4 linked regions of the Tamandua tetradactyla genome follow. The protein of the gene in region 3 interacts with the protein of the main gene of each other region in a biochemical or structural test. Links are inferred from orthologs where the notes say so. Each region holds a gene or a part of one and is shown on either strand. Other genes may lie near its edges. The genes, in order: PLCG1, ANOS1, FGFR1 and FGF6.

The links.
Region 1: the proteins of FGFR1 (region 3) and PLCG1 form a complex in vitro, tested with the Homo sapiens proteins (4 studies listed by BioGRID and IntAct, with this or other methods). The link is inferred for Tamandua tetradactyla from reciprocal best matches to the Homo sapiens genes FGFR1 and PLCG1.
Region 2: the proteins of FGFR1 (region 3) and ANOS1 form a complex in vitro, tested with the Homo sapiens proteins (3 studies listed by BioGRID and IntAct, with this or other methods). The link is inferred for Tamandua tetradactyla from reciprocal best matches to the Homo sapiens genes FGFR1 and ANOS1.
Region 4: the proteins of FGFR1 (region 3) and FGF6 interact in a biophysical measurement, tested with the Homo sapiens proteins (2 studies listed by BioGRID and IntAct, with this or other methods). The link is inferred for Tamandua tetradactyla from reciprocal best matches to the Homo sapiens genes FGFR1 and FGF6.

Annotation. Positions count from the first base shown.
Region 1 is NC_135327.1:11,016,330-11,023,519, reverse strand, and holds the start of PLCG1 (1-phosphatidylinositol 4,5-bisphosphate phosphodiesterase gamma-1), read left to right. Parts: upstream 1-4,147; coding exon 4,148-4,364; intron 4,365-7,190. UniProt on the Homo sapiens protein: Mediates the production of the second messenger molecules diacylglycerol (DAG) and inositol 1,4,5-trisphosphate (IP3). Plays an important role in the regulation of intracellular signaling cascades.
Region 2 is NC_135353.1:167,186,095-167,193,986, reverse strand, and holds the start of ANOS1 (anosmin-1), read right to left. Parts: upstream 3,032-7,892; coding exon 2,831-3,031; intron 1-2,830. UniProt on the Homo sapiens protein: Has a dual branch-promoting and guidance activity, which may play an important role in the patterning of mitral and tufted cell collaterals to the olfactory cortex. Chemoattractant for fetal olfactory epithelial cells.
Region 3 is NC_135352.1:4,642,045-4,649,072, reverse strand, and holds the start of FGFR1 (fibroblast growth factor receptor 1), read right to left. Parts: upstream 3,060-7,028; 5' UTR 2,417-3,059; intron 786-2,416; exon of another isoform or gene 768-785; intron 1-767. UniProt on the Homo sapiens protein: Tyrosine-protein kinase that acts as a cell-surface receptor for fibroblast growth factors and plays an essential role in the regulation of embryonic development, cell proliferation, differentiation and migration.
Region 4 is NC_135333.1:66,659,152-66,666,526, forward strand, and holds FGF6 (fibroblast growth factor 6), read right to left. Parts: upstream 2,586-7,375; 5' UTR 2,496-2,585; coding exon 2,150-2,495; intron 1,142-2,149; coding exon 1,038-1,141; intron 822-1,037; coding exon 591-821; 3' UTR 559-590; downstream 1-558. UniProt on the Homo sapiens protein: Plays an important role in the regulation of cell proliferation, cell differentiation, angiogenesis and myogenesis, and is required for normal muscle regeneration.

The sequences.
Region 1 (7,190 bases), on a different chromosome or scaffold from region 3:
TGCATGGGTCAAATTGGATACTGCAGGTCTATAAATCTGCCTACCTTAGATTGCAGAATGAGCTTCTCTGAGCTATTCTTTCAAATTATACCTTCTATATTCACCTAAGGTCATTAGGAACAGACAAATGAATATTGCTTCATCATTTGTTGTTAATATGTTGAGGACATTCTCCACTATTTCAATCAAATAAGTTTCCATGTGAGAAACTTATAATTTAGGCCCAGGAAAATGTTTCTACCCCCAAGAATCAGAATAGAAAGAGCTTTTGCCTTGGCTACCACTCATGGCAGCTACGTTAACCTATGTGGTTATTCTATCATCTTCTTATGACCCCGTACCCATTCTTATAGGACAATATTTTTGACTCTTGTTTTAAATACCCAACTTTTTTTTAGCGGTTGGAAAATAATACATTTGTGGAGGGTAAGGAAGGACTTACAGCCCCAACTGCTGTGAGAGCCACCTGCAGAACACCTTCAGCTGTTGGCTCCCTCTAAGGGAGCCCTCTGGCCCTGTGCTCTTCCCAGGGCAGTCCACATCCAATGACTGGTTGAGGCGGGGCTATGAAGACCAGCCAGTCCAGCCCTAGCTGGACAACAGAACTCCCTGAGGGTTGGCTGAGCCTGTCATCAGGCTCGCATCACAGCTTGATTTCTCCCTCTGCCCACTCCTGTTTCCTTCCTCTTCCTTCCACAGTATTGATCCCAAGGGCACTTCCAAGTAAACATTCTGCACACTAACCTCTGTCATAGAGTCTGTTTCCGAAAGAACCCAACTGCAACAACATTTAACAAAATAGAAAACAGATTACGTAGTGTTATTATGGAAAGGCGTGAGGATATACAATAAATGCTTATACATACACAGGAGGCAACACAGCATTGACTCTGGAGCCAGGTTGCCTGGATTTGAATCCCATCTCTGCCACTTATTAGCTGTGTGACCTTGGGCATATCCCTCAACCTCCCTGTGCTTCAGTTTTCTCATGTGTAAAATGAGGATACTAACAGTGCTATCTCAGTGTTGTAATGTGGGTAATGCTGTTACATGGTGTTTACTACGTGCCAAGCACTGTTCTAAGTGGTTGTTAAATAGAACAAAATAAATCTGTGAGGCCAATCCCGCAGGGCCGGAGGAGCAGCTGAACGACTTCTCCCCAATTTCCAGGCACAGGCACTGGTGTAGGCTAGGGCATGTTGAAGCATGAGTGTTCACAGAAATAGGCCCAAGCACAGCTTGCCCGGGTGATGTCACGGATGTGTGCTTGTGTGGGTGCTGGGGCTACTCCCTCCCAACCTGTGTAGCTACACGTATTGCCAGTAGCACCCACGTACTCATATTTTTACTGAGCTTGGGGAAGCCCAGGCCAGCTACACCCTTTGTTGCCCTGTTTTTCTAGAACTGCCTTTGGCAGAGGGAGGCACCTGAGACCTGGGATGCTGGTCTAGAAGTTCCAGGAGGAAATGGGTCTTTGTTTCCTCATCAAGGGACCTGGCAGCAGACTCAAAGCACAGGCTCCAGGTGGCAGGGATTTCTGGAACCCCTGTGGGCCCAGCCCCAGCAGCAGAAGCAAAAGCAAAGGAGTATGGTCTGCACACTGGGAAGCATCCAGAGAATGGAGAAACAGATCTACAAAGTGCAATTCAGCCCAAGTCAGAACAGGGAAGTTTAACAAGGGCTGAAGCGTTTAAGAGGGGATCTTCTAGGGAAAACGGACAAGGTCTGGTTAGGCTGGTAGAGGGGGGGCTCCCATTCAGCCTTCACCTGCCTTCCTCCTTATCTCCTTATTCCCTACTCCCTCCCTTACTAAACTCTGCCTTCTTTCTATTTCTAAACTCCCCAAACTCTTTCTGGCCTCAGGGCCTTTGTACATGCTGTTTCCTCAGCCTGGAAGGCACTTTCCTCCAACCCAGCTCTAATAATTCCCCTGAATATTTCTAATGAATCCTAAAGAGACCTTCCCTGTCTACTTGATCTGAGGTAGGTCTCTCTAATGTTTTCTCTCACAGCCCCCTGTTCTTTTCCTTCCATCACAGTGTTTCTTAAATTAATGTCTGTGAATTCTGGGCCCCTTTGTCCTCCCAGCTTGTGGTTCTGACACCTGGCAGAGGTGTGCTCAGGTTCTGTAGTCAGGGACAGTACCTCTTTAAGCCCAAACAAGCCCAAGCTGCACCCTATGAGCAACCATGTGCTGCTGGATGCTATGTTCTGCCTCTTCTCACCCATACTGACGAACCAGCTAGCTCTATGCCCCCTGACTACTCACTGCCATGGCCTGCTTAAGCCAGGGATTCTCCTGTGAGGCAGAAACCACACAGCATCAGACTTGAGTTCAAATCCCAGGGCATCGACTTGTTTGTTATGCGGCTCAGGGCACGCCGCAGACCTTCTCTGCATCTCGGCCTCCTCAGTAAAATGACAACGATACTGTGAGATCAGAGAGTGATTGTGAGGATCAGGTGTGATCACAAGCACAGACCGTGAGTTCCTTCCCTCCTATTCTAAAGGGCCGTCGCTAGGTGGCAGTCCATCTCAGCTGCCCCATATCCTCTTGGGCCCAAGCTCCATGAAACTATTAGGACAAAGCTTTTCAACTTCATGCTGGAATTCTGAGCTTTTTAAGAGCCATATTCAAGGGAATCACAGACAAGAACAAATGCACAAAAAAAGTTACCACTACACCAAGACAAGGTCAGAGGCAGCTCCAGGCACGGCACTAGTTCTTGTACAGTTCGGTTACCAAAGTGAGCGCCCACTCTTCTAGCCTCAGTAAACCTGGAAGCTGCTGGATGCTGTACTGGGCCTCTCAGCCCTGACCACCTGCCTGGCTCGACGCGGTGCTGTGACAGGGGGCTGCTAGAGTGCAGGGACGAGTCCAGGGAACAGCTTCAGAAAGACAAAGCGTGTGATAGTCAAACCACCACAAAAAGGCCTTGTGGCTGGGGAATGGAGAGTGAAGGGAAGGAGACGAGAGGGAGGGAATGGCAGGCCTTCTGGGCCACAGCCAGGAGTGTGGTTTTTAAGTGCAATGGGAAGTGAGGGAGGGCTTCAGGCTGGACGAAGGGGAGCATGTTTTAATTTCATTTTAAAGATGAAAGCATGGGGAGAGGATGCAACAGACGGGAAGCGGGCAAGACCGAAGGTGCGCTGAGGTGGATGAAGGACACTGGGACTGCGGGACGAGAGGCCTTGCAAAGAATGCTCAGGCCTGGAGGGCGTCTTCCACCGGGCGGCTCTCGAGGACCACGCCGGCCGCAAAAGCGGGACAGGAGTGGGTCTGGTTAGCCGTGGCAAGAGAGGCCCGCCCGCCAGCCCCGCACGGCCAGAGGGGAGGAGGTGGGACAGGACTGCTGCCCATCAGCAGCCGCCGGCCAATCCGCAGACGACCCCGCCCCCACCCCTCCCCTGAGAGGGCGCACGGAGGGCCCGCCCCCGCCGCCGCCGCCGCCGCCGCCGCCGCGGGTGTGAGGCGGCCCGGCCTGGCTCCCTCCGCCGGGCATCTCGCCCAGGTAACTTGGTTTGGCCGGGCGGGCCCAGGAGGCGATCTGCACCCTCTTATCTCCTCCCCGTGGCCGCGCGGGCGGCCCTTGGCGAGTGGGGCGGGCCGTGGGGGCTGAGGAAAAGGCTGCGGCTGGGCCTGTGCGGGACGGCGGGCTGGGCGGCCTTCTGTGCCGGTGCGACTGACCGACGGGGCTGACGGCCGGGCCCTGCAGCCTGGGGGCGGGGCCGCCGTGCGGGACGGGGGCCGTTCGTGGCCGTCAGGCTGCGTGCGGGCTGCGCGTGGAGACTCGGAGGGACGACTGATTGAGTGGGAGCGGCGTGCGCGCGCCCGGGGCCATCACGCCCCGCGCCCCCGCCTGGGGCCTGTCCGGGGGTCGCTGGGCGCAGGCGCGACGGGCCGGCGGGCGGGGGTCCTCCCCACGCGCGCGCGGTCGCCTTTGTTCCCGGCGCGCGGGCCGGGGCGGGGTCTGCAGGGACGCCCCGCCCCCTCCCGCTCAGGCCCCGCCCCTCGGTCTCCGCCCGCAGGAGCCGCCGCCGAGTCCCGCTCGCCGGCCGCCGCTGCCGTCGTCGCTGCCTCTTGCTCCCGGCCGGCCGGGCCTGCGTCGCCGCCGCGCCCCTCGCTCCGGCTCTCGCAGCGGGAGCCATGGCCGGCGCGGGGTCCCCCTGCGCCAATGGCTGCGGTCCCGGCGCGCCCTCGGACGCCGAGGTGCTGCACCTCTGCCGCAGCCTCGAGGTGGGCACCGTCATGACTTTGTTCTACTCCAAGAAGTCGCAGCGACCCGAGCGGAAGACCTTTCAGGTCAAGCTGGAGACGAGGCAGATCACTTGGAGCCGCGGCGCCGACAAGATCGAGGGGGCCAGTGAGTGCGCTCCTCCGGGGGCCCGCTGCGCGCGCGGGGGCGGCGGGGAATCCGGGCCGGGCTCCGGCGCGCCCCGGCCGGCGGCTGGAACAACTCGGACAAACTTTCGGCCCTTCTCCACCCCCTCCGGTCCCCAACTCGTTTCGGGTGGTCACCGGGGGGGCGGGGGTATCCGGATCCTCGGTCACCTGACAGGACACCCCCTCCCCCAGCTGGCCGCGGCCAGCCTTTCTTCAAAAAGAGCGGTCTTAGTGAAACTGGACCATCAGGCCGGGGCTCTCATTTGTAAAGGAGCCTTTGGGTTCCCTAAGGAGAACTTAGGAAGATGTTGGGGGAGGACTGGTCTTGGAACAGAGCCAGGCTTTCTCATCCCCCTCTTGGGAGGAGGGAGGAAGGTGGTCCTGTTTGCTTTGGAAAAGCCGCAGAGAAGGCAATGGCTGCTCTTTCCTGCTGCTCCTTTTGTCCTGAAGCTGAGTTTTGGAGGCCTGTGTGGTCAGCAGACACCCAGAGCCAGGGCAGGGACTCACAGTGGGTCCAGCTCCCTTGAACTTGGGAGCACATTCCTAGGAGCTTGACCTCAAAAAAGGCCAGCCTGAGTGCCTTGGAGTCAGGTATTCTTTTCAAGAATGCTCACCCAGTTTGGAATTAGCCCTTTTTGTCCTGGGTCCGGTGGTTGCAGGGAGCTGGGAGCCAGAAGCTGTTGCTCTTGGTTTCCTGCCTCTTTCCCTTCCCAGTCCTGAGCTTGGCTGCTTTGTGCAGGTCTCTGGTGGGAGTTGGAGGATTCTGTAAAACCCCAAATCTTTGGGAGTTTTACTCTGTTTAGTATGTGCCTGTGCTGTGGCCGGATGGGCACTCTGCTCTGCCCTCCATTTCCCCACCTCCGAGTGTGGAGAGATGATGTGACTGCAACTGTAGGCTGTGGTTTGCTTCCTGCAAGGACCCCAGCCGCTCCTGTTAGAGAGCCATGTTCAGAACCAGGTCCATGTGGAGGAAGGGGGTCAGGAAGTGCCGCCCCCAAGGGAGGCTCCTCCAGACCTTCCTGGCTAGGGTGTACATGGGCTGCAGATGTGCTAGGCGATTGGGAAGAAAGAAGGAAGGTCTTGTGAGGCAGCCAGCCACAACTACAGACTCCAGATCTGACAGAGCCGCTTGAACCGTACCCCCATCTTAGCTGTCCAGTCACTGGGGGGAAGAGTTAGGGTGAGGTGGCTGTGGACCCCAAGGGGAGGAAGGACAGACACTGCCAGCTTTGGTGGTGCCCCCGTAATGTGCTAAATTTGGTGGCACTTTAAACAGTGGCTGCCCATCAGGCAGTAAGTGTAGCACGGTGGTTGGAGGTGGGCTGTGTTTGAAGCCCAAATATGAGTGTGTTCCCCAGCCAACCACTTCTCCGCACCTTAGTTTCCTCATCTGTAGAACGAGGGTATAGTATATCCATTCATATAGTGTTGCCGTGGGGATTAACTGAGATCACTGATGGAAAACATCCAGCACGGTGCCTGCCATGTGGTATATGTTTAGTGCATGGGAGCTGTTATTAATAAGCATAGTGTGGCCGCCCTCCTAGACCCTGACTGGGGAAGGTTGAGGGAGGTAGAGTGTGGCTGCAGGAGAGGATGAGCTTGCTAGGAAGGAAGGAGGTTGGGGACCAAGCTCACATTTACTTAGATCATTACCTTGAAATAGGGAGGAAATGGTTTTGCTTTGCCCCAATCCATCTCCACCCCCCACCTACCTACCACGTAGAATGGTATTTCTGCAGGGAAGGTATTTGACTATCTTTTTTCTAAGTTGGGGCCTGAGAAGTGTGGAGGGGAAGTCTAGTCCATGGTGTCTCAAGTCTTTGGGGACTGGAGGCAGAAATGTGGATTGATTACCCTATTCACCAAGGATGGGGTGGCTAGATGTGTACAGATTCAGTGATCTCATCAGGTAGCTGTGGATTTGAGAGGCCTGGAGGGGAGTAGGCAGAAGGTGTGGGAGGGGCCCCAACCCTTCATTTTGGGGGGCTCAGGTTGAAGGAGTCTGGGTAAAAAGGCTTGTAGGTTACTTGAGCAGAGCTCAGTTCTTGTCAGTGTAACCTCCCTCTGAAGCCTTGCCTTGCTTCTGCCTGTGCATTGGGTTCACCCTCTGGTGGGCTCCAATCCCTGCAGCCTCCTCTGCAGGCTCCGATGGGCTGTGCTGTGCTGACCAGAGGGCAGAGGAGAGTTGGGCTGCCAGCTCGGCCCCCTGCTACCTGGCCTCTTGCCCAGGGGCCTCAGGGGCCTGTCTTTCCCCTGCTGACCCTGCCAGGGTACCATGCAATGCCTGTGGCCTGGCCAGAGAGAGGAGCGTTTGTGTCTGTGGGCCGGAGGAGAAAGAGTGTGGTTCAGTGAAAGTGCATGACGCTCGTCTGTCAGACCTTGTCGTGTTCTAACTCCACACCCTCACTTGACCGCCTGTGAAGTGGGGCTAGCACCTGTTGATTTCTAGGGCGGGGGGTTTGGCTCAAAGGAGGAGTGGGGAAGTGCTTTGGTTGTGGTGGTGGTGTAACAGGGACCAGGTTGTTGTTTGACTTTTTTGTTGCAAATACTGACATAAGTGAATGAAAAACAATAGACTGCCTGCTGGGTTCTGTAGACTTAGTTGTGTGTTCGTGGCTAACTCTCACAAGGGTCCATCCATTTTACAGATGAGGAGATGGAAATACAGGGAGTGGAGTATGTCACAGGCGATACTGCTAGTGTGAGACAACCCTGGTGGGACCCAACTCTCCAGCTAGTGGCTGGCCAGCCAGTCCCAAGATGACTCCAAACCCAGGAAGCAAGGGGAACCTCTCCAGTTGGT
Region 2 (7,892 bases), on a different chromosome or scaffold from region 3:
AGCCTGGCACTGAAGACTATCCCACCACCATACCACCCACCGACAGAGATGAGCCTCCCAATCGCCTCCTAAGGAAGGCCTGACTTAACTATCTGCAGGTACTATATTTGTGAACTTAAAATGGCAACATGCCAAATTCTTTGTTCAAGGCACCACTGTGCTGGACACTGATCACTCGGGAGATACAAACTTACAAACCTTGTTTTCACAATCAAAGTACAGCGTTCACTAGTAAAATGAGTGAGTATAGAACTCCTCGTACTTTTAGTATTAAATTCTATGCTGTTCCAGGTTGGGGGCATATCAGATAATTCAGTTTCCCTGTTCCCTTTTCCACTCCCCTCCCTTAGTACTCAGGATCCCTTTGGCTTTCAGGCACAGCTGACACTACTATGAGCAACTGAAGCAATTCCAATCTTGCAGAGGTGAAGGACACCAGGTGTGTATATTCACAGCTCTTCAGCTCAGCGGCTGGAGGGCTGGGAGGTATTGGAAAGCGCACTGAATTGGGGCAGAAAATAATCAATTTGAGCCTCCTCTGTAGCCATACCGCACCAGGTCAGACTGTTCCTCAGGTTCAGAGTTTCTGCCTGAGCTATTAGTCCACAGTTCAGGTTCTTTCCAGCCAAGGCTTGGCAGCATTCACACTTGACAGTCTACACATCCGTGTGGCATCAAGGATGAAGGCAACCTTTCCCCACCCTTACAAGGAGGCCTAGACTCCTGCAAGAGAAGTCAGAAATAGGCACTTGCTCCAAAAACAGACTTCTTCTTGGGGATATTTGTACAAGTTGGAGATGTCAGGAAGAACAGACAGAAGGAGCTCTTTCAGGTCTTTTTCCAGCCCATTCTCTGGGCACGTTACATGCACAGAGGAGTGGGTTGGCTAAGCCTGATTCCTCCTTTTAATTATTAAAGGGGGAGGGACAGGGAAGCTTGAAGCTGTATCTGATTTTATCAGGAAAGTGTGTCTTTTCACATCTTGACAATGCTTAATCCCTGTAATTGAGATAAATCAAACAGGCATTACCAGGTTAGGGTTAAAACTCCCAGAACGGCTTTGCCACTGATTACAAAACAGCAGTTATTAAGTCCTAACTGCGTAATTTGCAGCTTATTTCACCCCAGCTAATTAAAATGTAATCAGGATTGTTTGGCAACGTGTATTCTGTCAGCAGTTTCTCTTCAGAAGAGAAGTCATGCCAAGGGACTAGAAGAAAAGCCTTTTCACCAGAATTGGCTTGATCTAAACTATTTCTTTAGCCATGCAAACTGTAAAACAAATAAATTACAGCAACTGACAAATTCCATTAAAAAAAAAAAAAGATACTCTCCCTCCCCGGGAATGCGCTGTTATGTTTTGTTTTCTGTTATTTAAACAATACTGCTGCATCTTCTCAGGACTTTCATGGCAGAGGTGGGTGAGTCTGAAACCAAGTAACATCTCCAGGACATCCGAGCTATTTCACCCCACCAGAGCCCCAGGTTCTTTCTCCTAAGACCATTTCTCTGAAACCTACTAAGAAGAAACGAAACTACGCTCCCGCACCCACAAACTTCACGGGCTGGTTCGATCTCTTTAAAGAACCCAATTTTCAGCGGTCGCCTCCACTCTGCACAAGGTTTCCTTAGCTACGGGGAACCGTCCCAACTCCACCAACATTAAAATCGCTCCTCTTGCAGCTTAATTCCCGGGGCCCATCGGGAGGCCCCCTCTTTCCCACCCAGGCGAGAGGGGCGCCCGCTTATTCCTTAAGGGCAGAAGGCTCGGCTTGCAGCAATGGTCCCGCCGAGTAACAGGCTCTGGTCTCCTCCTGGCCTCCGCAAGCGGAGAAGTGAGGATCTTGAAACCAGTGAGCAGCTCAGGCTAGACAGCAGCGCGCAAGGGAGAGCAGCAGTGCCGGCGAGAGAAGGCAGGCGGCCGGGAAGGATTTCAGAGCTCGCGCGCTCGGATCGGCTGCGCCAGGGAGCTGTGCGCTCTGCGCGAGCGGAGGCGGGGCGCAGCTCGCGTGCGCCCACGGACACCGGGGTTCCTCTGGAGCCCCCAAAATCCGGCAACCCGCAGGCGCAAAGGGTGCTGTTCCCGGAGAGTCTTACAGAGCCGCATTCGCTCAAGCACACACACCCTCAGGCAGAAGATTCTGCCCCGGCGAAGCAGGTAAGGAACCTGGGTCTCCACCTCCGAGCACCCCAAACACGACCCCTCCACGCTCCCTATTTCCTGCACCTCTCCCAATGCCTTCACGCCACTCGTTAGTAAGAACTTGAAGCTCTGGGGCTCAAAAGTGGGGTGCGCACAGCCAAACCCCGCTCCAACACACACACGCTAGGACGCACGCCATGGATGGCCCCACTGCCCTGCTAGAGGGTCGAAAAGTGGCCAGCGAGCTCCGGGCCATGGCCTAGGAGGGACAAGTGTCAGCTCGGGGGCACCTGCAAGGCTGGGCACGTCGCACGGTGCCCCTGGCGCGCCTCGGGGACTAACCTGGCAGCGCCCGGCACTTTGCGGGACTCGCCAGCAGCGCAGGATCTCCCGCAACTAATAAATCTGCACCCATCGGTGAGCGCCACGAAATTGCCGTCCCACCCCCCAAGGAGGCCGCCCTCCTTTTCCCGCCGAGAGGAAGAGTCGCGAGGAAAGATGCTGCGGGCTGCTTTAGCGTTTCGGGAGCAGTGGGGAAGCTGAGAGGGAGGGTCCCGGGGCCCGGGGTGGAAAAGCAGTGCCGAGGGAAAGCCGAGACCCGTCGAAGTCGCGGCGGTGGGGCGGGGTAGGGGACGCGGGCCCGCAGCCTCGGGGGCGCCCAGCGGGCGGGCGGAACCGGCGCAGTACCTGGAAGTGCTGGAAGAAGGCGGAGATGCGCGTGATCTGCAGGCTGAGGCACCTGGAGGCGCAGCGGGCGCGCTGGACGCTCCCGGCCGCCAGCGACTCGTCCAGCCGCCGCCCCGCTCCAGGCCCGGCCGCCAGGCAGCCCCCAGAGGCCGCCAGCCAGAGGCATAGGGTCAGGGCGGCGCCGGGCGCGCCGGGATCCATGGCTGCGGGTCGGGGGCGCGGGCCGAGGCTCCCCGCTCCGCGCCGGGGCCGCACTGCCGGGCACCTCGCGGCCGCCGCGCCGCCGCCGGGAAGTTCAAGCCGCCAGGGCTGGGGGGAGGGGGCGGGCGGCCGCGCCATTGGCTGGGCGGGCCCTGAGTGACAGGGAGCCCGCGCGCAGGTCTCCGGGCGGGAGCCCCGGACCACGCCCGCCTCCTCCCCGCGTCGCGCCGTCGGGGTGGCCGCCCGCCCGCCCCCGACGTCCAGGTGTGCGGCGCTGCCCGCTGACAGGTGTGCGCAGGCCCGCAGCTGGGCAGAGACCGGCGCGCCAGGGGCCCTCCGGGCGTCGGGGCTGTGGCGTGAACGCTAGAGCGCCCGAAGCTGTGTGCCGCCTTCCGGGTGGCCGCCCCACGTCCAGGCTGCTCTCGGGCTCTCCCCAAGTGGGGACCCAGCCTGGAGCTCTACTAACAAGGACGTGGTTAGAGCGGAGAGCCGGACCAGGCCATGTGACTGACAGCGCCCCCTTCCCTTCTCACTCCCTTTTGCCGATCCTTTCCTGCTCCATCGCTCCCCCCTCCTAGTATCACCTGGGAAAGTGAGTACACAACCCCGCCGTTTGTTAAACAGGCCCGCGCACCTTGTTTGGCAGGTGTCTGTTCCTAGCCGGCGCCACCCCGCCGCCGTGCGCGGACAACTCTAAACGCAAGGCTGGTCTCCCACTTGGGTGTGCCCAAGCCACCTAATTCGGCCTTTTAGCTTTGAAATTGCTGCTCCGGTGTCTCGTTATATTCCAAGGTCCTTCATCACCTCTGTCCTCCCTCCTCAGCCAGAGCCCTGCCAGAGAAGGAGACCCCAGGCATTTGTAACAGAACATCCCATTTCCCCAAGGCTCGGGCCGTGGGGGAGGGGGGGGGTTGAGGAGCGTGCCCCCAGCCAGCTTGAAGGGAGAAGACCCACCAGAGCGCTGGGACCTGGGCATGGAGAATGACTGCACTATGGGGGTGGAGAGACTGATAACACCTAACCCCACCACTGATATTGGGACATGCTCATATATATTCAAATGCAGAAAAAATGACCCACAGCCACATTCTCACACCGAACACTACAGGTTTTAAAAGAGTGTGGCTGTAAGTGTGTCAGCGTGCCCTGAACCTGCTGAAGGATACAGTACAAAGCCCTACTGATTCCTCTTTGCATATGTCCTAAGGAGCTGGAAGATGACAATACAACCTCTTTCCTCTACTGCACACTTAGGTTCTGTGATTTTGAGACCTTTCTGTTAACAAATGAGGATAACTGGGGTTTTTGCTATGATGGCTTTTTCTATTACATCATCTTATATGTATACTTCTTCACGCAATTTATGTCAGGGAGGCCAGAGTATTAGAAGCTCCCAGAATTGTTTTTGTTAAAAAGGGCCTGTAAGGCCCGCCTAGCTTCAAGGCAGTGCAACCTGTTCGAACCCCCAGGGTCGCAGTCTTAGAAAACCCCTACACTTGGTTTAATGCTCTGCTGCTACCACGTTGAAAATTGTATGCATTTTTTGAGCAGGGAGCCCCCATTTTCATTTTGTGCTGGGCCCCCAAAATTACATAGCTGGTCCTGTCTGCCAGTTTTAGCCATGACAATACTATACTTGAGCTGGAAATCTAAAAGTGTAGGCATGAGCTCATGAGAGTTCAATAGTTTGTTTAAAAGATGCTCAGAAATGGAAACCTTTTTAAAATACATTAAATTTGCTGTTGATTAAGAGCAAAGAGACTAAAGAGGTTAGAGGAGTGACTTCTGACTTCAGGGATTTTTTTTGGTGGGAGGGGGGTTAGTTTTATCACTTTCACTTGGGAATCAATAAAAACCTTTTTAAAATACATTAAATTTGCTGTTGATTAAGAGCAAAGAGACTAAAGAGGTTAGAGGAGTGACTTCTGACTTCAGGGATTTTTTTTGGTGGGAGGGGGGTTAGTTTTATCACTTTCACTTGGGAATCAATAAAAACATTTCCAAAAACTGCAGTGGATCCTTCCACAGTGTTTTTTTAAGTTTCAAAGTAAAGTAAACACCTGGTCTTGGTGAAGGCAAGGATTTTATGCAAACCTGTATTTTTTAAAGGTGTCTTTGATTTACAATTTTGCATGTCATATCATGAAATTTATATTCTAGAAAGTGAAATCATAAGGACAAGTATGCTAAGCTTTTAAAAACAGTCTTTAAGCATTCAAAGGATTTGCTGTATTTTTTTAAAAAGCAACTTCTGTGTTACTTCTATGTTCTATGGAATATTCATTTTCATGAATAAATGCATTTCATAATAAACCACAAAAGAGAACAACTAGTCAGTTGAAGAGAAATCTTAGGATTTCTAAGGGCCAGTTTATTATGCGTATGTTAAAATAATACACCTTCTTCCTTTAGAATTAGCCCAGAAATCCTCCGTGATTATAAAGGTCTCCTCATGCTATTTATTTTAATTCCAATTTAAATAACTTCCAAAAAGAAAAAAAAACATTTTAGTAAAGTCAGAGTAACAGTGGAAATCTATAACTCTGCTCATATAACCAATTTACTATGCAGCTGACCCTGGGAGCTAGTAAATGGTACCTCTCTAACTTTTCACATAAGTCATAAGCCCACCCTAACTTCATGAAAACCAGCCACCCAGGAAGAGAACAGTCAGTGTATGCTGAAGTAATGATGGATAAATGAATGGGTGGGAATCGTACAGGTGTGCTTAGAAAGAAAATACTTAACATGTCTTTCTCCACTTGAATACCATTGCCTGAATTTGTCTAGAGAGGAAACAACCTTCAACTGACTTCGGTTTGTCTCGAAGGAGACAAAACACACATCTGTCAAGAAGAGTAGAAAAGGGATTTAATTTACTCTCAGTTATATCCATGGGAACAAAGGCAAATGTAGCTCGGTCAGGTTGTAAAAACGCAGATAAAATGAGGGACCTTGTTCATTTCGGAAAACGCGAGTTATGCTCTTCCTTGAGTTTTCTTAAGCTGATAAGCCCCTCCAGTGCCCCCCACCAAAAAAAAAAAGAAAGAAAGAAAATGGAGCATGAAAACTACCTGGGAAGCTTGCTAAAGATAGACTCCAGGGCCTCAACTTGAGAGATTCTGGTTTAGTGGGGGTGGGGTTTTGTAATATAAACTTTTAACCAACTCCCCATGTGATTCTATAGCCATGAACCCTGGACTGTGGTTTGATACTGATTTAGAAAACCTGTATTCCTTTAAGAACAAGGGTGGCAACTTCAATTTAGACAGCACCTCTGACAACTTTTTGAAGTACCTATTTATGCATATGTGTTGATGTGGATTGGACACAACGATCCATTTCTTACTAAATCACATGATATTTTGTTCCAATACATTTAACCAAGACAATCTTAGATTAATTTTTTCCAGGCTAGAAATTTGTCTTTTTAAAGACTTTTTAAGTTCTCCAGCTCCATTTGGTTGATAAGGATGAAATATGAAAGAATCAAGCATAATCCTTCTCTGACACGCCCCTCTTAGAAAAGCAAATTGAGATCTACAATTGGGGAAGAATAAATACTTTTGTTTGAAGCCCTGAATGAGTTTTGAACAGAATGCCATTCCTGTCTTCAGGGACTTTGAAGTAAGAGGAGGAAACTCAAATGAGCTGCCAATTTCCTTCCTAATTGCCTCCATTTGATAACACAAAAACTTGCACCTTCTCTCTGAAACTGAAATTAACTTCAGGAAACGCAAAAGTGGGAAAACTAAGAAGCTGTTCTGCCAGGGCTAGGCCTACCCTTACCCTCCCAGGTGACGTTCTCAGAATTTGCTAGACTGAGTCTCTGAAATCTACTCCTTTACTATGCTTTGCTATTCCTCCAAAAATTCTTTCATTCTGCTTAGCTTGAGATGGCATGATCCAGGGAATGCTAAGAAAGTTACTGAGAGAGAAAAAAAAATGAAATGGGAGCACAATTTAATTGGTTATATGTCAGATTTGTATGTTTTGCAATATGATTTCATTCTAGAATGGGTGTATCTTTATGGTACTGATGGTCAACTTAATCATTTTACAAATGAAAATGTGTAATTGGGGTCAGTGAATATTCACTTTAGTTTTCACAAAAAAACAGCACATCCACTTGGCAATCACCTGCTTTCTTTTATCATCTGCAACGCCAGACTGCCCAGTTGGTTTTGGCTTTATCCCAGAGCACAATTTTCTTCTCAATACAATTACAAAAAGTCAGTAGCAATTTTTGTAGGCCTAAAGGTACTATATCAATCACTTAATGTTTCCTAAAATTTTACTAAGACGTATCAGACAAAAATGTGTCTTCGATTACTTTTTGAGTTAAAGAATATTTTAATGATTTTTACTTCATTTGCATTGTTTCATTAAAATACTGTCAAATAACATGAGTCCAGACTACTCCATGCACACATTGCAAAACTTTGTCTCCTTGCCCCTTTCCCTCCCTTCTACCAAAGTCACCAACTAGTAGTGATAAATCTGCTTGTACCTATTCCTTAATTGGAATAATTATGAAAATATACAGGCTTTTTTGTTTGTTTTTACCGGTCTGCCTTTTTCATTTTTCAAGGATTGAATATATGAGGAACGCGATATTTGACTGTGAATGTTTTTTTCCCTCCCAGCACCCCCACCCTGGGAATTTTAACTTCAGTACATGTGCTGATCACTGTTGATTTTAGTGTCTTCCCCCTGCTCGTCCCCCTACACACACACACACACACACACACACAAACAGCAGGACACTGAATTTTTTGAAACACAAATCCCTGGATGTTTGATACCAGTAAAGTAGAGCACTTGCCCTCAAACCTTGGCAATTAACTAATTTGACCCTAAT
Region 3 (7,028 bases):
CAAATATTCTGAACTCTGAGGGTCAGCAGCAGCTCCAGAGCCTCTCCCAGCTAACTGGAGGGAAATACGTAAACAAGTCATTACGGAGGCTATGGGGGCAGGCGGTCAGCAATAGCACTGAAAAGAAGGAAGACACCCAAGCTCAGAGGGTAATTAGCCAGACCGAGGCACGTCCCACGGGGCTCAGCTACTTAGCTTTTAAACAAGCCTTGGAGAGGAAACCCGGATGCTGGGCCAAAGGGGGAAAATGGCCACTTTCAGTTCAACAGTCTCAAGGCTAAGGTTCTACAATTTAGGTGGGATTCCAAAAAAAGCGCTGGTCCGGAGGTGCAAAGGGCAGGCCACATCTGCGGAGGAAACAGTCACCTTAATTACCATGTCTAGAGAAAGTGCGATTTCATTGCAGCCTCCAAACTACCCGCCCAAAGAAGGAAACTAGAGAAGTGTTTTCAATTTGAAAGAGCCTGGAAAGGAGAGAGAGGGTGAGGGAGACCAACTCTTCTCCACCCGCTCTCAACTTTGGGCCAGAGGGCGCTGCTTTCCTGTGCCAAAGGATATTACAAAAAAAACAAATAAAAAAAAACACAACTCATCAAGCCAATCCCCGCGTCAGACCTGTAGCCCGTTAGTCAACGGTCAAACGTCTCACTTTGGTTTCCGGGCGCTGCAGCCTCCCCCAAACTCCTTAAAACACTCACAGGGAAGGGCCACAGGCAGCCCCCCACCCCCCCGCCGGCCCTCCCTACACGTCCCCACGCGCTGCGCACCGGGAAAAGGGACGCGTGAACGCCACCGAAGGGGCAGCCGGGGATGGGCAACTCCGAAGGAAGGATTGCGCACTCGGGACAGAAGCTCTAACCGAAGGGAAGAGAGTGCCCTGCTTTTGTTCGCGAAACATCCGTCAGGGCCAATTCTGGGTCAGACCCACGGTCCAAGAGGCAGATGGACTGCTGGCAAGTGTTATCCCCTAAAGCCTGGCCCCCTTCTCCCACGACGTCTCTTTTCTGCAGTTTAGAAAGCGTCCCAACCACCACCCATGAGCAGCAGCAGGAAAATAAGTAAGTGGGAATCCTACATAGCTTGGGATCCAAGGTAACTTTTTCTCCCTGAATCCCAGCCCCTCATCCCCAATTTTTAAGAAAATTTAAAGGACGTGTTTAAGAATCCCCGTTTTAATAGGGGTGGGTGGGATGCTAATAACGTGGCTGCGGTGTACCCGTGTGGAGTGAAATGGAACCAGATGCCGATGGTACGTCTGGAATATGGGAGGAAAAAGTGTTGAGGAAGAGAGACATCACAGACGTGTTCTTAAAATGGGTCTTTTTGTAGCTTCTGGGCCCCAAAAGGACAGAATGGCCTCACCCCCTCTCCTCAAAAAAGGTGTCTGGCTGCTTTCATAGGGCGTGTGTTGTATGAACCCCATCTACCACGTCAGTAAATTCCTCGGGCAATGAAAGGATTCTCCCCCTTTCTCCCCACCCCAAACATAAAGAATGTGGGGAGCGGCGAACAGAGAGCAACAGGCCTAGGTGCCGAGTGAGCCCACCCGACAAAATCCTCATCCCTTCCCCCACCTCTAAGAACCGGACTGGAAGGGTATGTTCCCCTCCCCCATAACCCCATCCCGGGGCTTAACATCAACCCTTTGGGCGCCCTCGCCCTTCTCCAAACTTCCGACCCTGTCTGGGATGGACTGTGCAGAAGACACCCCTCCCTGGGACGGAGAATTCCTCCCTCGCCCTCCGCTCAAGCAGATATCCAGTCATTTGGTGACGCCACCTCCTTAAAACCTATTCAGGGGTAGGCTAGGCCGACCCCCTCTGCCTTCCCCCTTCATACCCCTACCCATCCACCCACCCCCGACCCCAGACTTTCCGGGAGAGGGAAGAAGACATAAATATCCCGGATTGTTAGCTGTCTGTCCGGAGCTACCTGCTGAATTGGGATGAGTCACCACGAAGGGACCCAAAAGGGAGGAGTGAAATGCAACACACACACACAAACACACACAACACGCGCACACACACGCACACACACACCACCACACCACCTCTCTCCCCAGGCGGAGAAGCCCCCAGGGCCGCCGCCGCCTTTGCCCCCATCTCAGTCCCTCTCTGAACTGACCGCTCCGGAGCGCGAGTTGGCAGAAAAGTTGGGCGGCGGGACTAGGGTTGGGGAGGGGGCGCAGAAGGCGACGCTGGTAGATGCGGGGTGGGTGGGGGGCGTAGGGCCGACAAAAGAGGGGTGCAGTAGGCTGGGAGTGGACAGGGAGCCGGAAGGTGGAGGAGGGCTGGGAGGGAGGCGCCGGCCCCGACTGGGCTGCAGCAGAGGAAGCGCGCGGCTGGGAGGCTCCGGCGCGGGGAGCCGCTCGGGACTTCCAGCCTGAGCGGGATCTGGCGGGCGCCGCGGCTCTTACCTCACCCGGCGCTGCGGTGCCGCCTCTGGAGAGTCCGCCGTGGCTTGTGTAGACTGGCGGCTGCCCGCGTCTCCCGCTCCGGCCCGCTGCCCTCGGGGCTCAGCTCGGGTCCCGGCTCCGCGCGGGGTTCGGCGCTTCCAGCCCGGGCGGGAACAATGGAGCCGAAGCTGGTGCCCCGGAGGCGGGGCGGCGGGGGGGAGGGCTCCTGTCCGCCGCCCAGGGTCTCCAGACTCTGTGCCCCGACTCTGCTGAACCCCGCGGCGGCGGCTCACGCTTCTGGCACACCCGGTTCCATCGTCCTGCGGGGGCCCCGGCCCAGCGGCGCGCCCGACTGCAGCACTGGTAACGGTGCGCCCAGCTGGGCGCCACTCGGACTGGAGAAAAGTCCTTGGGCTCGGCTTGGCTTTTCCAGCTGCGGGGAGCGCTGGTGGCTGGGGAAGGCGAGCGAGACGCAATGCGCTAAGCAGGGTCTCGGTCCTGTCCAGACGTGGCCGGCCCAGCTCCCGGCACTGCCGGGGTTCCTCGGCGTGCTGCGGGTGCGGCAGGACCAGGATTCCGGGGTCCCGCTCTCCGCCTCCTCCTGCCGAGGCCGACACACCAGTGCCCGCAGGAGCGCTCCGAGCGCTGTGCGCCGGCGAGGCGCGAGGACTCCCTCTCGCAATCCCACGGCCCGCTAGTCCCTCCTCCTCTTCCTCCCCCTTCAGCTGCCTGCTGGGCCTTGTAGTTCCTGAGCCGCGGCCCCCGAGACAGGGGGAGCGAGCCGCGCCGCCGGCTCTCTTCTGCTGGTTTCCTGCAGTCTGGGCTCGTTGGGCGCGCGTGCCCTTCCCTCTGAGTACCGTGAGCAGGGCGCCGGAATATCAGGCCGCTGGCAAGCTAACAGTTTGGAGGATGAGATGGGGAGAGAATGTAACCATAAGGTTGTTCGTGATAGCATAGGCTTTTTGAGTCTGACGGTTTAACTTGGAAAATGATTTTTCTTACTCTAAATCTCCGTTTTTCTATCTGTAAAAAGGGGCATAATAGTACATTCCACATAGAGTTCTGGATTAAAGGAGACGTAGGTTTACGGTCTGGAACGTAGTTAACAGACGTTTTTATTCGAGTATCTGAGGCTGGAACCCCTTCCTCAGATTCCGTGATCTCATTCAATCCAGCTACATTAATTCAAGTTTTGTGGTTCCCAGGGTACTGAACCCCATAAATTCTACAGCACTCTTCTTATCCTCCAGAAGTCTCTAGCATGTGGTGAATGTTTAGGAAGCTGAGTGAGTGGTGGGAGTTGTGGGGAGGTGTTGGTTTGAAAATGAATCACCGCAGCATTAGGTGGAACCCAGGGAGAATGACCTAAATGTCCTTTTCCCTGGGTCCTTCCATGGGGTGGTATATCTAGTGGTTTCCTAATCCAAAGGTACATGAGTTCTTTGGGGAGCATTTTGAAAATACAAATTCTTTGGCCCACTCACTCCTGTGGAAACAGGCTGTTCCAAGAAGGAGCCAGGAAATCTGTATATATATATTTAAGCTCCCTTATATTGTACCTGTAATGTGAGGGCAGGTTTGGGGCCACTGGTAGAGTGCAGTGCCACACTGAATAGGAAGGAGACTTCAATTCTGGTCCTTTGCTGATGAACTGTTTGATCTTAGACAAGTCATACATCTGAAAATGAGGATGGAATTAAGTAATGGATATCAGTACACCAAAAGTGTTACACAAACAGAAGTAACTAAGTTAATAGTAGGGTCTGTTTCCTCATCCCTACCCCACAAGGTCTTGGAAGTTCAAATACTGATGATTAGGTCCTCCAAACTTATTGAAAGGGTCTCTAAGCTCCTTTTTCATTTCACCATCAGTGAAAGAACAGACAATCCATAACTGTTTATGGACTGACTGAGGAGTAAATATTCAATAAAAATTTTTGAATGAATGAATAAATAGCAGGAACTCACATATTTGTGGAATAAATGAACATCAACTGTTTATAGGGTGTATAGGGTTATTTCTCCTGCAAGCTTGTCTGTCCACCCCTTTAACCTTCCAGCTCCTGGACAGGTTCCACTGATCCTTTCCTATCAGCTGCCCACCCATTAGGCCACCTGTGTTGCAAATAATGCTTATCCCAGAGATGTAAGAAGACCAGACTCACACCCCTCCTTATTAATCCCTGAAACTCCTAGTAATCCTCTGGTATATCCCACCTATTTGATACTTGATATAGCCTTTGTTAGTTGTCTTTTTTACCCTATGCTCTTTCCCTTTAGTTGACTCCTAAACTGTTCTAAGGCAAGGCTCCCTTCTACATATCTGGCCTAGCTCAATTCTCTGTCCTCAGGAGGTTTTTCGTGTATGTTTGTTGTTGATGGATGTGATGAGGGTAGCAAACCTGGGTCATCAGAGGACAAAATACAAAAATGGTTGGGAAGACAAGCCATGGAAGAATCTAGCATTTCATGTTCACACCCAATTACTGTTTTCCCACTTTATTCCCAAAGAAGAGTGGATCACCTTTCCTCTCTTTGCTTTTTTTAAAACAGAAAAACAGTTCATGTTTTATCCTGTTTTAAATCCAGCCTTTTTTTTTTTTTTTTTTTTTCATTTCTTTTGTTTTGGAACCATTTTGGAGTCCCAAGGAGGCAGCTGAAGAGCGTGTCCTTGTTTTAAACCAAAAAGAATGATCTAGCTGCCTCTTTGGTGTTGAGGGGCACAGGCGCTGCCAGTGAACAAATTCCTCTATGCTTCACCCGGTAACTAAAATGAAAGCAAGTGGACAACTCAATAGCTCTCTCTTCCTCAGTTCTTAAGGAAACATCCCACGAGAGCCAGAATGGAGAAGTCCTAAAACCCTGAGGACGAATGGGCCATCAGCAGACTGTGGCTCCTGAATAATTGAGAGCTGACTGCTTTCTTCATTCTAGACCGGCTCCCCACTCGCGCCGCTCCCCACCCCCACCCTTCCCCCAACTCTTTTTGAAATGTAGACCCTCAGCTCAGGACAAGTCTCAGGCCAATGGAGGGAGAGCATCCCCAGGGCAGCCCTGAGCCATTCCAGGCAGCAAGGGTCATATGGCAGCTCTGCCTGCTTCTGTCCTGCACTGAGGACTCCTGGCTCCTTGCCTCCCCACACAGAAATGTAATCTTCCCTTGGAGATAACAAAGAGCTGGGAGGGTCACGGAGGATTTGTAGGCCCCTTGCCCTGCCAGCAAGATGTCGGAGAGGGAGACAAAAGGCCTTCATGCTCTAGGACCTGATAACCAGTTGGGGGCCTGTAGCCTCCCGGATCTACAGGGGGAGGGGAACAGTGCTGAATGAAAAGAAGGGAAACGGAGCTCTCCCCAAAGCCCGGCCGGTCCTCTTTGTTTGGGAACAGTTGCAGAAAATCCCTTCCTTCTCCTTAGAGCCGCTTGTGTTCTCTGAGCTCCTCCACCGAGTAGGGAGCTTCTCTTTCCCCACAGTCCATTCGCCCCACTGCTCCCCTGCGCCATCTGAGTTTGTTTATTTCAGGGCTCAGCAGTCCCAACCAGGGATGAGGACTTCACTAGACCGGTTCATACTTCAGAGTTAACACCTCACTGAAACGGAAGAAGTTTGGGGGGATGGACTGGGCGAGGTTGGGCCTCAAGTCTGCTCCAGTCAGGCTTTGGGTGGGGGGTCCCTTAGCTGTGATAGGAACTGGCTGAAACCCAGCTCTGAGAGCTGGTTGCAGGAAGGGATGCAGCAGGAGTGAACTGTCGGGTTTTCCCCTGCAAAGTGGGCCGTTCACAGGTCCCTGGGAGCAGGTGGGCGGCAAAGCCTTTTGCCCCAGGCCCCTGGAGTCAGGGAGCAACAGTCAGTTACCATCTGGCGGCCATTTGGTAACCCCTGGCTGTTCTTAGCACAGCTTCAGCTTGTCAGGGAAGGGAGGGTCTTGTTTGGCTTGGTGTTTTTGTAAATAATACTTCACTCTCTCCTAACAACTGGGGGTGAGCAAGGGAACTAGCTGCAGTAGTGGCTGGACTTGCCTGGCCCTAGTGCAAGACCATCCACTAAGGTTGGGGAGCACTTTTGTGCTTCAGGCACTGAGCTGGACACGGTGTTTCTGAAAATGAAAGGGACAAGGGCATCCCAGTAGCTCTGGCTTGGGGTGGGGTGGGGTGGGGGACCTAACACTGCAGGCAGTGCTGCGCCAGCCCAGCTGCTTGTGCAAGGTGTTTTGGGAGGAGCAATCAAGAGGCTTAATTCCTTAGAATAAAGATGGCTAAAAGGAAGTGATTCTTGACTTTAAAGAGTGGCAAACAGCATGTGAAAATCCACAAACTCATCTTGGACACTTGTGGAAGGTAAGGCTGGAGGGTACATGCTGGGGTATGAAAGCTTCTGAGTTCTCTTCCTCTAAGAGGGAGAATTCAGTCTCTGGGATCAAACAGGTCTTCTGGGTGTCAGTCCTGATTTTGCCTCTTCGTACTGGCTGTGTGATCTTGGGCAAATTGTTTAATTCCTCTGTATTTCCTCAGTGGTGAAGTGAGAATAATGGCAGTCCCTGTTCTTCAGAGTTGTTGAAAAGATGCACTGAGATAATAATGCATTAATGCACTCGATAGAGTGTCTGGCATGTTGTAACCACTCAATTAATGGTA
Region 4 (7,375 bases), on a different chromosome or scaffold from region 3:
GAATCAACTCTTATCATGCCACCTTTATTAACAAACTAGTTTGTGATCATTTCTGATAAGTCTCAGCTAAAGATCTTGAGACAGAGGCCATGCGGGTTACCCATCCCAATATTTAACAGCTTTCCCCAAGACCAGCACCAATCTCAATCCATCCTCCAAGGAGAGGTAGAATGGTTCTCTAGAGCCTCCCCCCCAAAATAACACTGGGATTCCTTGACTGTTGTCCTGAAATATTCCCTTTTTAACCTTCTAATTTCTGTCAAAAGAATCTCGGGTTCCTTAATCTCAAGGGGACTTTTTCCCAAACCATATTTTAGAATAATCTTCAGCATGGGCTAGGCGACCCAGGACCAAGTGGGTGTGAGAGAGCAAAGGCTTTGGTAAATGTGCTTAGAAAATGGTTGCATTAACCACAGCCCCAGCACTGGCCCTCCCAGGGGTGGCCTATGGTGGGGTGGGGGTGGGACCTGGTGCTAGCTGAGGGTGTCAAAGACATAGGGAGGCGGCTTCTCCAGCCTATTCGATCCAGGACCAGCGGTCTGAATAAAATGTGAACAAATTGTTGAAGGTGAGAATAATAGTCTCCAGGCTCACCTTCCCACTGCACTCTCACCCCTGGGGTCTCTTCCATGAGTGCGACATGGATGGACACACACTCGGGCTGAAGGACAGGCTGGCCTTCTCTGGGCTTTCCAATTCAGGAAATCAAACCTGATTGCGAGGCTGGATGACAGCCTTATGCCCACCGCAGGTTTCCTTCTGACAAGAGCTTTCTGAAGCTTTAGTTCCCCTTTCATTGCAAAGGCTCTGGCAGGTAGAATCTGGAAAAATGCAGTCCAGAGACCAATTGACTGTAAGGCTAATGAAGCACAAGCCTCAAGGCATTTCACTTTCACAGGTTCCTTCCACAGTCCCTTTTTTTTCTCATTCTAGTTAAATAGTCACATCTCTACTCAAAAATCCTATATCATTTTCTTAACTTGCTTAAGCTGCAGGCTTCATAAAACCCAGACCCACCCCTGGCCCGAAGAACTCACCGTTGTATACAGTCTTCCCTTACTGTTCATGGCAACAAAGAGCCCACTTTTCACTCCAAAGAGACTCACCACACCTCGCTCCACTGTGGAAATCTCCAGCAGACCTGACAAAGAAATGAGGGCCCCGTTACCTAAGGCTTGTGCAAATCAGAGTGGGACTTGAGGCTCGCTGTGGTCTGATAATCACAGCCCATCCCCCTGTTTCTGGAAAGTCGGACCCAACATGGCCTCCATCCTCTTCCTTCTAACTTTGGAGATCCTGACTTCTAGACTCATCATGTCCCTCCACTACTCTGTTAAAAATCTAGTTCTGCAAGGGACAGGTCTGACTTCAGAGCTGGGATTGGAATGACCACATACTGATCTCTTTGAGGTTTGCTTTGAATCTGGGTGTCCCTGACATAATCACATCAGGAGCTTGTCTTGGAAGGAAAAAAAAACACCACCACAAAAAACAAGGATGCAGATGATTTTGTTTTTAAATGCATATGCCACATGTTTCAACAAATCCCAACCCATCAAATCGCCCCAGTGCTGCAGCCACGCAGAGGCTGACGGTTGGCCTGGCCCTTGCAGCCCCATCCTCTCTCCAGGAGGGGAGCCTAATGATGCAGCAGCCCACCGGATAGTAGGATAAGGGCCTGTGGACAGGGGGGAGCAGGTTTGAAATAAAACAAGAGGGATGTGCTTCAGCTAGGAAATGTGCAAACTGCTTGCCTTTCCTTTTCAAAGAGGGAATCTGAAAAAAAAATTAGCTGGTGTCTCATTTGGTCCAAGTACTTCTAACTCATTCTCCCCAGCCCTGGCTTATGGCTCCCAGGACTGAACGATCCCAGGGGTCTTACAAGGCCACAGGGCCAGCAGTGCTGCGGCCAGGGGCATCGTGGGGTGGCGGTGAAGGACATCAGGATGCTTGGACCTCAGCACATTAAGCCTGTGGCGGGGCAGGGTCAGACAGCTGGGTGTGCTCATCAGCATCTCACGGTGGTGATGAATAACATTTCTCCCCCTTTAAAGTAAGGTCCCACCCACCCAGAGCAAGCACCCTTCCTCTCTGAGCCCTGCTTGAGCCCGAGCCCTCGAGCTTCCCAACTGCCTGGCGCTGCACTCACTGTAGGGGTTCTCCTCGTGGGTCCCGCTGATCCGGCCGTCGGGGGGCACCTGGAGGTGGAAGCCGATGCCCACGTTGCAGTACAGCCTCCGTTGGCGCTTGATCCCCACCAGGTAGCCACTTTCCCAGTTCACCCCGGCAAAGTCTCCAGCCAGCCCAGTGCGAGACCTGGACAGCAGGGTGCCCCAGCCCCTCGAGTCCAGCAGGGTGCTGTTGGCGCGGGTGCCTGCCGGCGAGGGCACCACCGTGCCCGCTAGGACGCCCAGGAAGACGAGAGCCCACAGCGTGCCCTGAAGGCGTCCTGCTCCCCGGGACATAGTGATGAGCAGCCTCTGTCCCAGGGCCATCCACCTTGCCTCTCAGGCACGTGGTCAGAATTAATGGCCCTAAAAATACTGCCCTTCTTGTTTTCCTCCCCTCGGCATGGCGGCAGGGGCTTATTTTTGGAAGGCAGATGAAGGCTGCTGACATGAAACCAAAGCCTACTTTGGGCACTCGGGTCGGGAGCAGAGGGACCCAGGCTGAGCCCTGGCTGGTAGGGACCATGGCTTGGGGACTCTCTCTAGCTCGGCTGCTCGCTCTGTCCCGAGTTGATTACATTTGATTTGACCTATCTTTATAGTTCAGCAGCCCAGCCCTCCCCTCCACCCATCATCATCCTGACGTCAACTGGCCCAGCTCACTTATCCAAGGATGTAACATTAACCTGCTCCTGGGCCTGGCTCCCTCCCCAGACCCGCATCACCCTCCCCACTCCCCAGGGACTCTGGGAACCACTGTCATTCCAACTATGAGGCAGGAATGAAGGTAGCGGGAGCATCTCTGGGGGAGGGGCAGCTGGATGGGGGCCCAGGGGAAAAGGGAAGTGAGAGGCCACCCTGCACCCAAATTGGGCAGAAGTCCGTTCTTGGCCTGGCAGTGCCGGCTTCCTTATTTAGAGGGGAAAGGGCTTGGTGGTGGGTGATGACCATGGTTTGCAAGTTACCTTTGAAATCTTTTCATGGAAAGAGCCCACAGTCAAGGGCAGGGGGTCACCGAAAGGCCAAACCCTTTCAGTAGGGGAGGACAGAGATTCTGGTGGAGAGCTTGTCCAAGGAGTTTTTGGATTATGAGAGATGGTAGAGCTAGGGTGTAGCGCCTCTGCTCACCACCCCGCCCATGGCATTGACATGCCGAAGGCGTGGAAGTGGTGTCTGTCACTCGACATAGCCTATTGGCCATTTTCTGAGCTGCTGCCGTCCCTGGCATCTGACTGATAATATTCCACTGTGCAGATGAGGAAGCCAAGGCTTAGAGAGACGAAGTGATTTACCGGAGCCACCGCTGCTAATACATGATAAAGCCAGAACATATAAGGCCTGCCTGTGCTTTGAAATTCTGTGTGATATTGCCTATAGTAGAAGTTAGATTTCCAGGCTGATCCACAAAGTCTGCTTAACTCATTATGTGCCAAGAGCACATTACAGAATTTTTTTTTCTTTTTGGCATGGGCAGGCTCCAGGAATCCACAGAATTATTTCAATAGCAGAGAAGAATTAATTTGTTCAAAAAACTTGAGATCTTTGATGCACAGATGTATTTCTGCAATTGCATGTTAACATTTGCTAGGTTATCAGTGTTAGAACTTAGAAAAAATATTTCTGCTGAGTAGTTATTCCCACACCCAATTTTATTTTCCCGTATTATTTTTAAATCGAGTACATGTCCAACTGAGGTATAAATACTTAAAAAAAAAAAAGACCTACCAAGAAAAATCATCAAGAAGTTGCTATGTGAATATAAGATATAAGCAGCTGTCTCTGAAAGTGAGATAAGTTAAGGGTCACATGGTGAATTAATGTGCGTCTAAAATCTAGGTGTCTTGTCTTTCAATCCAGGTCTTAATGTGTTGGCGGACTTTGAGCACCGATTGCACGTGGATTGGAAGGCTGTGTGTGTTGGTGTGTGCGTGTGTTCTGGGGATGGCCTTGAACATCCTTTACACGTAGGAGGGCTGCTAGCTGGTAGGCTCCCTCAGCTACATTCTGCACCTCCCCTGGAGGCTGCAGGCAGCCTGGGAAAAGCTCCCAGGATGTGCTCCACTGCTCAGGCACTCTTCTGAGGCCGCACTAGCTCCCTTCTGATTCCAGCCCTCCTGCTCTGGTCTGGGGTCCCAGGCTCCAGTCTGTGGCTTCTACTTGCCTTCTGCTCCTCTGCTTAGCTCATTTGGATTGATGCTTTGGGGAGAATTTCTGTGAAGTTGAGCATTTCAGTTTTGCCCTGGATGTGTTCTCTCAGACCCCTTGAAATGCAGGCACCCTGCTGTCATTACCCTCAGCTGGCAAAATGATTAGGGAGGGAGGTAAGTACCTCCAATTGCTATCACCTGACTATCTTTCCCTTTCTTGTCACTTCCATTGTCTTATGCCCAAACTCAACATCACTAGTGCTGCCAATTCCACAATGAGAGACTGGCACCTTCTGGCCACAGGTAGAGTCTAATAAGCCTTGTGTTGAAAAGTTATTTTGTTTTGTCTGTTTTTAAAAAGAGGTTATAGGGTGGGCCACGGTGGCTCAGCAGGCAGAGTTCTCACCTGCCATGCCGGAGACCCGGGTTTGTCTCCTGGTGCCTGCCATGTAAAAACATTAAATTAAATTAAAAAAAAAGAAGGTATAGAAGCTTCCTCTGCAGAGTAGGAGATGTCATAAATAATCCCAAACTGGATTTTTTGCTTGATTTCATATAGTTAAGCTTTCATGTATGCGAGAGCAGTGGAGAAACTCTCTTAATGATGTTTAGTTTGGAATCATGTGTTAATCAGCTTTTGCTGGTACCAACTTAGAAACCAACTTCTTGCCCAGAAGCGAGTTGGATAGGAGGGGGAAGGTAGTTGGAATTAAAACTTGCCATGGATGATTGAGAAAGTGCTCATCAACCGAGGTCAGACTCTCCTGGTGGAAATCTTCCTGGAACTCATCCACTTTGGGACTGCCTTGGGGGAGAGATAAACAATAACAAGGTCCATGCCATAGGTCAATAAAAATGGTAACTCACTTTAGACTTACCTCATCCCAGAGTCCTCTCTTTACATACGTTTGTGTTTGGTGTCTCATAAATCAATGGACTTTGGAATGGGAAAGAGTTGGATTTGAGTTCCATCTCCACCATTTATCAGCTGTGTGATATAGGGAAAATTTTTAACTTCTCTGAGCCTCAATTTTTTTTTTTTTATCTGCAAATCCGAGCTTTTTGTTTCATAGGATTGTTCCAGAGATTAGCAATGGTATATGCAAAGGGCATAGGGTAGGAGGGACACGATATAACTCTAACCCTTTCCTTTCTCTGAAAAACACTGAAAATCTCTCACCCCATTAAAGGAGGACAAACCCAGAGTGGGAAGGACCAGCTTTCATCTGAAGGGGTGGAAGAGACACGTGGGCTCCGGTTCCTAACTGCCATTCACCAGAACATATGTTGTGATGGCTGTTAACATATGCAGATGCAGGCAGCGCAGGTGCCTGAAATATTCCAAAAACCAGTAATAGCCTTGGTGTCGTCCCCTGTTAAATATAAAACTTAAGTAATTCATTCTATTAAAAAGCCTGGGTCTTATTTTTATCTGGTGATGTGATGAGGCCCTGTTCTAAATGCGCCTTCTGGGCCTGTCCCTATAGCAACCCCATAGTGCTCATAGCTCCATATATTTTTCCCGAAGGCTAATTAGGTTGACAACTGCTGGGGCTTCTTGGTTTACCAGATTTGCACTTGACCCTTCTCTTGGGGCTTAGGGACCCCTATGGATGTGAAGTGATGAAGAAAAGAGGAACAGGTGGAGGGCCTCTCTGAGAACCCCTCTTTCAAATAGTTGCGTAGCAGCCTTTGGGGGTTGTCAATCACTCTTTCTGGATGAGCCAAGATTTAATGTAGGTGAGTGGGGAAAAAATGTTAATGTCTGTCTCCTTCCACGACAGTATCCGGTCTCTAAGTGAGGCACCACGAGATACAGATTGTTCATATTTGGCAGTGCTTAGCTACACTTGGCTTTCCTATCATCTGCAGGGTGGAACTGCCTCATCACAGCGGGGCAGGCTGCCTTCCATGGCTCCTGTTTCCCACATAATAAAATTCAAACCCTAAGGGAATGACCAGGGGTGACCCTAAGGGAATGCACATAAAGCGCAGAAGAGCCATAGAAGTGTGGATTATGAAAAACTGTTTATTTGCGCTTTTTACATTTGGCTTTGAAAAATTAACATTTGTCTTTTTTTCTAGAGATAATTTGGAAAATACAGAAAATTATAATGTAGAAAATAAAGTAGTGGCTTGTGTTTAATGTTTTTAGGTCTTTTGTTGCAAAGTCTGTTTTTGAGCTTCCTGGGGACAGGGACTGTGCCGGTTTGAATCTGTGGTGGATCCCAGAAAAGCCACGTCCTTTAATCCTCATTCAGTATTGCTTGGTGGGAGCATTTTGATTGTTCCCATGGAGATGTGACCCACCCAATTGTGGGTAGTAACTTTTGATTGGATGATTTCCATAGAGGTGTGTCTCCACCCATTGAAGGTGGAGGATTCCTTGCTGGATTCCTTTAGAAGAGGAAACCTTTTGGAGAGAGTCCTATTTTGTAGAGCCACGAGAAAGCCAGCAGATGCCACCATGTTCGCCATGTGCCCTTCCAGCTGAGAGAGAAACATGAACTCCATCGGCCTTCTTGAACCAAGGTATCTTTCCCTGGATGCCTTTGATTGGACATTTCTATAGACTTGTTTTAATTGGGACATTTTCTTGGCCTTAGAACTGTAAACTAGCAACTTATTAAATTCCCTTTTTAAAAAGCCATTCTGTTTCTGGTATATTATGTTCCAGCAGGCAGCAGACTAGAACAGGGGCCTTGATGCCTCTCTTTGTCTCTCCCTCTCTCTTGCTCACACAAGCACCTCGGCACTCATCCCTGGTGTTCAATGGTGGAGATACTCATGGGTATGAGACGAGCATGTGTAGAGGTGAAGGAATGGGAGGGATCCCTGCCCTAGAGGTGAGCAAAGAGGAACATCCAGGACTCATGAGACTTGCTAGAAGTGGGAGGATTCATGAGAAAATATTTCAAAGGACTTCAGATTGGACTTTTGCAGGGAAAGAGTTAGCTGTTATCTTGCTAGCAGATCCATGGAGGAAACCATTCTTTGTACTTTCCTCAGGGAATTGAACTCTCCTTAGGTCTCATTAATACAAGCCCATTAACTTCACCC